Stegostoma tigrinum: one gene and its partner. The main gene of each other region encodes a partner of the protein of the gene in region 2 in a complex. Links are inferred from orthologs where the notes say so. Each region holds a gene or a part of one and is shown on either strand. Other genes may lie near its edges.

Region 1 (3,925 bases), on a different chromosome or scaffold from region 2:
ACCTGTCTTGATTTTGCCTTATACAGCTGTTTAATTTGGTTTTTTTGATCACTCTTTTGATGTTTTCTGTTTTGGGATGTTTTCCTTGTGGTAAAAGGGTGGTATAAAAGGCAGCTGTTTTTGCTCATACATTATTCACTGCATTTTCATCTATCTGAATTTCCTGTTCCAATAAAATGGGACTGACAATTTGCACAATATCAGATATTAAGGAACCTCTCACTTTGTTCGAAGTAAGGACTCTTTGTCCAGCATTTTGAAAGCTGTGTCTCACACATTCACTTAGCACAGCATCGTCACCCAAAACAATACACTTCCTGATGGTCCTGCCAACTATTTTGAGCATTTGCAGTTCTTATCTGAATTTCAAACAATAACTTCAGTAACAGCTGGCAGGAGGGCAGAATAATTCGTTTTACTTCATCCGTCACCCATTTCTCTTTTTCTTTTATATTGACTCCCTACTTGCTGTTACAATGCAGCAAGTGTGCAGTGTATCAAATAGTTACAAGGAATGTAGTTCTCCAATAATAGTCTAATCACTTGCATTTAACATTCCACACCATCATCATACTGGGGTTTTACCGCTGACTAAAAACTGATTTAAACCAGCTCCAAGCATAGGTCAGAATCTAGGAACCCTGCAGTGAGTAACTCATCTCCTGACTCCCCAAAGCCTGTATATCATCTACAAGGCACAAGTAAGGAGTGGGATGGAAATAAGCCCCACTTGTCTGGATGGGTGCAGCCCCAAAAACACTCAAAAAGCTCGACACCATCCAGGACAAAGCAACCTGCTTGCTTGGCACCACTTCCACTCCCTCCACATCCGACACACAGTAGCAACAGTGCGTACCATCTACAGGACATACCGCAACGACTCACAAAGCCTCCTTCAATGGCACTTCACAAACCTGTTGGCTCTACCACTTCCAAGGACAAGGGGAACAGATGGGCGGGAACACCTCCACCTGCAGGTACCCCCTCCAAACCATTCACCATCCTCACTTGGAAACATAGCACCGTTAAGCGTAGCTGGGTCAAAATCCTAGAACTGCCTGACAGCACTGTGGGTATACCCACGCCAAAACAAAAAGGGCTGCAGTGATTTAAGAAGGAAGCTCACCGCCACTTTCTTAATGGGAGGTAGGGATGGGCGATGAATGCTGACCCAGGCAGAGACGCCCACATTCCTGCGAATTAATAAATCGAAACTAACATAAACATGGAAAATGCAAGCTAAGGAGGCGGGCTTTTGGACCACATAGCAGGAGCGCTCTCTGGCTCCCAGGCAGAGACAGAGTCATATGATTGGATTTAATCAGAAGCCGCTGGAAGAGGTTGGTTTATGCATGAGGAGCTGGCATTGTGGCTGTGCTGCTGTAGAACATTCCCTGTCACCGCGATAATGACAATGATGCAGAGGTTGGAGAAGACGGTGCCGGTTTTATTCCCACTGCCGATGGTGTAGAGAAGGTTTCGCTGCTGTTGTGTTCGGATACACATACAAACACAGACACCCAGAGCCTGTGTGTGTGCGGACCATGGCAGAGCGATGCTCCGGGAGCCCGGCCCCGGAATGCGGTGCCCAGGCGGACTCTCAGGACCCGGAATCCCAGGAGCTGTCCCTGGAGCAAATCCTTAAACTGTACAACCAGCCGCTGAATGAGGAGCAGGCTTGGGCCGTGTGCTACCAATGTTGCAGCAGCCTGCAGCGCCAGCGGCGGCCCGGAGACACGCAGCTATTCCCGGGCAGGCTGAGCGGAGCCAGGACTGTCATTCTGCTGCGAGACGGCAACATCAGCATCAGGAGCGAGGAAGCAGGTACGAGACGCCCCGGAAAGAACAACGAGAGCAGGAGCTGAGTATGGAAGTGAAACGTCTTGACAGGAGTGGGGTGGGGGTTGGGGAGGGCTGTCAGTCCCCCTGAATCTCCAGCAAATAAATAAATAGATAAATAGGAAAGGATGAGGGGTGGAAATCGACAGCTGGCGGAGAAGGAAGCTGAAAAATAAAGCGGACTTTATTCAGTAAATTTTCAAGTCGGTGGTGAAGGAGCTAGAGTGGTCTGTTCTCCAAAAAGGCGAGAGGTTGGGAAGGAGGAGTCAGTACTGGGCCCTTTGATGAGAACACAGCTCCTTAGGCGGGTGGGGAAGGATGATATTAGAGCCAACGATATCCACATTCTCTCTCTTCAAGAGAGAGAGAGAGAAGCCACGAAAGTCTGGCGAAACAGGCACGGCGTCAGTGAGCACCAGCAGGGGCTTTGCTGCATTGTTGACAGTGAGAGTCTCTGACTGACTGAGCCAACAAGGTCAGCGGAGCCGCGGGTAAACAAGCTGCAGCCGAGAAGGTCCAATCAAAATTCACAATCGGAGACCTTCATGGACCAGTAAAAAGGCAGGGCGATGCCTGGGTGAAAAAAAACAGGAAAATACCTATCATTAGAAATAAACTGTTGCTGACAAATGATTTTTTAAAAATAATTCATCCATGTGAAATGAATGCCGCTTGGAATTTATTACTCGTCCCCCTATTTGTCCAGAGGGCAAAGAGCCAACCACATTGCCGTGGGTTTGGATTCATATGTAGGTCAGACCGGATAAGGGTGGAAGATTTCATCCTCTAAAGGACATTTGTGGATTTCCCCTGACAATCGACATATTGGCAAACTTTTTATTCCTGATTTTTTAGTGAATTCAGAGTTCATCCTTTACTGCGGTGGAATTTGAACGTGTGTGGCCAGAACATTAGCTAGGAGCTCTGTCCAGTGATATTGCCAATATGCCACTACCTCCCCAAAGTAATAACAAACAAATATAAACACTGATATGTCAAAAATAAAGTTGTGGATTGAAAATACACAGAAGAGTTTGAGGAAAAACAGATAATGCAGCCATCTGAATTGAAAGTAAGAACAGGCCTGGACACAGCCATGCATTTGCATGGCATGACTGCACTGCATTTCAGGATAAGCACATGAATTCCCTGGAATATAAACTGAATTTGCCTCACCCAGTTAATGACTAGCTCTGATCATAATGATTAGCTACGCTCCATAAGGCAGCTCACTGTAGGAACTTACTGGCTATGACCTGCATCTTTTACGGCATATTTAACACAATTGTTGTAAAACAAGAAGTAATAACTGGCCCAGGAGCAGCCTGAAGATGGTTGAGGGAATCGTTGAGCACAACTAAACTCAGGTTTTTGAGAGATAGAAAGATTGGCGGAGAACATACTAGGCCTAATAAGCCTGAAAACAGTGTTGGGTTGGAGGATGAAGGGATGCTAAAGAGGAGTTGAATATAGGCACAACACTTTGATTCTATTAATTTACCTCATATACCTGAAGTCTTTTTAATTGCCCTCGCTTCATAATCTCTTGAGATCTCCAGTCAGGAAAATTTCAACTGACCCAGCTTTTGACAGTCTTTTGAGGGAGTGGATCAGTGATACTCAATAACTTATGTGGGGAACGTGTTTCCTGGTTTCAGTCCTGTATGATCTAACTTCAAGAGCATGCTCCTTGTTCTGGATTTTTGTTTATTGGTGTGAGCCTCTTTAGAGAGCTTACTGGAGAGTATGTATCATCCGTAATCCCAGAGATGGTGATTATGAAGCACCAATGTAACTTCATAGGGCATTTCAAAGGTAGTTAAGAGTCAATAGGGGAGGCAATGACCTAGTTGTATTATCACTGGACTGTTAATCCAGAGACCCAGATAATATCCTGGGGACCCGGGTTTGAATCCCGCCACGGCAGATGGTGGAATTTGAATTCAATAAAATATCTGGAATTAAGAATCTAATGAGCATCAATCCATTTTTGGTTGTTGGAACAAACTCATCTGGCTCGTTAATGACCTTTAGGGAAGGAAATTGCCATCCTTACCTTGTCTGGCCTCCATGCCCATAGCAATGT
Region 2 (3,925 bases):
ACAGGCCCTTTGGCCCAACAAGTCCAATCCAACCCTCAGAGCACCCCACCCAGACTCATCCCACTATAACCCACCTAATCTACACATCATTGAAAACTACAGGCAATTTAGCATGGCCAATTCACCTAACCTGCACATCTTTGGGCTGTGGGAAGAAACTGGAGCACCCCGAAGAAACCCACACAGACATGGGGAGAATGTGCAAATTCCACACAGACAGTTGCCGGAGGCTGGAATTGAACCCAGGTCCCTGGTACTGTGAGGATGCAGTGTTAACCTCTGTGCCACCGTGCTGCCCCTTATTGACCCTCCACACAGAGTCTTGCTTTTTTGGTTAGTGGAGGAGGGTGGGTGGGAGACACTATAAGTGTAGTGTTTCGGGTTTTGCCACTGCCAGAACGATTTTACCTTCCCAGCAATCCCCTCACACTCTCTCTCAACTCCTGCTGCTGAACAAATGAGCATCCATTACCCGATCGGCGGGTAAATGCAAGCCTCAATCTCTTGCCCATTGTCCAGTGCCATCATATCCCAAATAATCTGACTTTTCATGAGCTCATTTTCCTGTATGGCACTCTTCAGATGCATCTTCAACCGTTCTGGCTTTTACTGTTCCTTCCACAGTATTGTTGTGATCAGCAGATTCCAAACCATCCTTCACATAGGCATCAAACATGGCCTTTTCCCATGTTTGTTTCCATGGTTCAGTTCCCCACAGGGGCTTTCCAGCAATTTTCCAGTTGTGTCTGAACGGGCATCCTTCTCAACCTTGCTCCTGTATTGTGTGCTGTGCGCTGTTTTTGCCTGCAGATAAAATGGGTGAAAGATAACAATTCCCTTTGATTATTACGCTACGAAATTAGCATACACCCACTGCTTTGAATATTTCTTGTGTGTGTGTGTATATATATATAGATTTTAACTTCCATGGAATGTAACATTGAAATAATAAGAAAGTTGCAATACCCTGCAAAAACAATGTTATAGCATCACCTAGAGTAAAAGTCATGTAATATACAGCATTTTCTGTACCCTTGGATATTTAGATGCCTCATATCCAATTGCATTTCTGTTCCCAAGCGAATACAGCACCACTACACCCACGCCCATTAAAAATAGTGCACAGAAGATCTATGCAACAAAGAGGTAGAGGACTCGCTTGCTGCTCTTACTCTTCTCACGTTGGATTTTGCATCTTCCACAAGCCATTGAAGAACTGTAAAGAGGGAAAAAAAATCCAAGCGCAAAGACTGTGTAATTGAGGTGGTTCTAACCGGTGGACATCTGATTCCAAGATCTTTGGCAGAGCGTCTGAGAGCAAATCACTGCTGCTCATCAAATAAAGCATTTGAGGAGGAAATACAAGCAATAGGTAAATAGGTATATTTATAACAAATGATGTTATGAATCAAATCTTAAAGCTGCAAATGTACAGATAAAGATATTACTGTACAGGTTGACACCTCAGTGATGGTGCAGAAATTCACACCTGTTATTTACTCAGTGTCTTCAAAATAGTGGTGCCAGTGGCCTATCAGAGATTATTTGAATAGCATATATAATATGCTAGTCAATTGCTGTTTACGAATGTGATTTTAGTCTTAGAAAACAAATACAGAATCTGATGCCCCTCAGTAGTTCAGCAATATGTATGTACCTGTATCTTATTTGGCCATTTAAAGAAGGAGAGTTCGATCTTTGCGTGATCTGCATTGAGATAGCCATTCCAAATCAAGGCTGTGAGATGACTGAGAGGATTCACTCACAGTTTCCATTTCAGTGCTGATCACTGATCAGGGATCCCTGTTGGAATGTACGTACCCAGGTACTTTAGGTAACAATAGCATTGAGCTAAGATGCTGAAGTGTACACAAATGGATCTGGAGCATCAAATGCCCAAATCCTCCTGGTCAAGAAAATTTCACAAAGATTATTTGCTAAAAGGAAACAAGAAGTTAAAGCTTTCTACCTTGCACTAATCAGGACTCAATTCAAGAAACGGACTTAGAAAAAGGGACACTAATTTATATAATGTGAAGAGAATGCGGATTGGCTGTGCCATCATGAACCTGGAGAAGCAGCAGGAACAGTTGACTGTCAATCTTTGTTCTTGGACCAGGTGGTAGACCCTGATTGTTTAGGGTGTTGCCATGGAAATATAGTAGAGACTGGGAGTCTCCATGATCCTTTCCTGTTCAACAAGAAAACTGCAATGGATGGATGAATTCCATTTCCATAAAACAAGGTCCTGCATAACAGTGTGCGTCACTTCAAGCTGATGAAACTTCATGATAATCTTGAATCGGTTCCCTGTGTAATTCTTAGCACAGTCCCATCATTTATTAAATGACATCCACAGCAGACGCATATCAAGAGTGGATATAACATTTTAAGGCTTGTAAGTACAGGATGGTTGAGAATCTTGAAAAATCAGAGTCTCCCTGCCTGGTCTAAGAATTAATGATGCCCTACAAAATCAGAAATTGCTGGAAAATCTCAGGAGGTCTGGCAGCATCTGTGGAGACAAAGCAGAGTTTACGTTTCTGGTCCAGTGATCCTTCTTCGATGATGCCCTGATGAGCACAAAAATGAAAAGAATTGATTTCTTGTCTTTGTTTAGCAATGTTTAGTTCCTGGACTACCAATGTGAGTTTTTTTTTAGGAACCTCATTTCAAACATATGTTCAGCTTATTAAAATATTTTCTGAAGCTGAATTTAGAACATGAGCATAGTTCACAAACAACAACATAAAAGTCATAATAAACTGCATGTTATTTTTCAGCTGAAATGGTAAATCCTGCAGTGACAAAGGGAAGAATATATTAATAGCTACTGAAAAAGAGTGACTCAGCAGGTGGAATCTAATTTCTGGCTTCAGATGGCAAAACATGATTCTTTTCCCTCACTGTTGATGACTTTCATCTGAACTGATACCTGCTACACAGAAAATAGATGGAGTATCATTTTCACCACGTGAATTCTAATTTTTAATCCCTTTGTTTGTGTTTTCTAACTTGCCCCACCAGATCTTTTTACTAAAATTGACAGAAAATCATTCATCTTTCTGACAGATGCGTGTATGGCTGCCATAATGAATGCAGTGTTGAGATGGACATGAACTTATAAAGGAAAGTTAAAGCAAAAAGGCAAATCAGCTAAGTGAATAGAACTTGTGGGTTCTTTAATGGCAAGCACATATTTTTATAGCGTGCTATGAATGGGATCGATTTTATTCAAAAACTGGAGATTACTCTTTAAGAATCAATATGGATGAAATTAGGTTTTCTTGGATCAAGTTAAAATGGAAACAACTTGGAAAATCTATTGATTAAAAGCTAATTTTTCAGATGTAGATGTAATGGCAATATTAATACTATTGAAAGAATTACTGTTAACTCCAACACAATTATCTCTGATGTGGCTGTAGGCATCTTAAAGGTAGAGATTGAAACAAGCAGTTGGAAAAAACATAGGACATTGCTGATTAGCTTGCATTTTGTTGTAAATCAACATTAAACTGCTAGAAACTTGCAAGCAGACCCACTGTTAAAAGTGTTACATGCAAAACCGATCCTTCATTTTAGCATTTCTTGGAGTCTTTTTCCTGTAATGCTCCTTCTCTTAAAAGCTTTATTCAACACAGCCCTGCCTCTGACAAAGGAAGCACTTTAACTAAGCTCACTCAGCTGTTCCTTCTTCTAATTAGTTCACTCTGGTGAAATGTCATTGCTCAGTTGTGTTCTCATCCCAGTATGTTTCTCTTTAATGGAAAAAAAACTACTTAAATTCTTCTTTGTTTAGTTCAGAGCACATTCACATTAAGCAAATGTATGGTGAGTCGTAATATATACTGGTGAGTATATTTCAATTGTTTATCTTGTCTGAACTGATCAGTTTAATAGTAATATTCAGGGCACTGTTGAT

Evidence for each region.
Region 1: the proteins of fmn2b (region 2) and protein spire homolog 1-like are in contact, whole or in part, in a crystal structure (PDB 2YLE), measured with the Homo sapiens proteins. The link is inferred for Stegostoma tigrinum from reciprocal best matches to the Homo sapiens genes FMN2 and SPIRE1. Residues at the interface, in NP_064450.3 of Homo sapiens: Ser1702, Leu1703, Lys1705, Ile1706, Lys1707, Pro1708, Arg1709, His1710, Gly1713, Ile1714, Lys1715, Lys1717, Ile1718, Lys1721, Thr1722; in NP_001122098.1 of Homo sapiens: Gln51, Pro52, Ile53, Asn54, Glu127, Ile131, Tyr134, Lys135, Asp138, Leu141, Lys142, Glu143, Asn144, Glu145, Glu146, Arg147, Glu148, Glu154, Ile157, Asp158, Ala161, Asn162, Thr163, Val164, Glu165.

What each region holds. Positions count from the first base shown.
Region 1 is NC_081358.1:117,566,279-117,570,203, reverse strand, and holds the start of protein spire homolog 1-like, read left to right. Parts: upstream 1-1,292; 5' UTR 1,293-1,544; coding exon 1,545-1,824; intron 1,825-3,925.
Region 2 is NC_081362.1:76,939,255-76,943,179, reverse strand, and holds the start of fmn2b (formin-2), read left to right. Parts: upstream 1-1,173; 5' UTR 1,174-1,372; intron 1,373-3,824; exon of another isoform or gene 3,825-3,854; intron 3,855-3,925. UniProt on the Homo sapiens protein: Actin-binding protein that is involved in actin cytoskeleton assembly and reorganization. Acts as an actin nucleation factor and promotes assembly of actin filaments together with SPIRE1 and SPIRE2.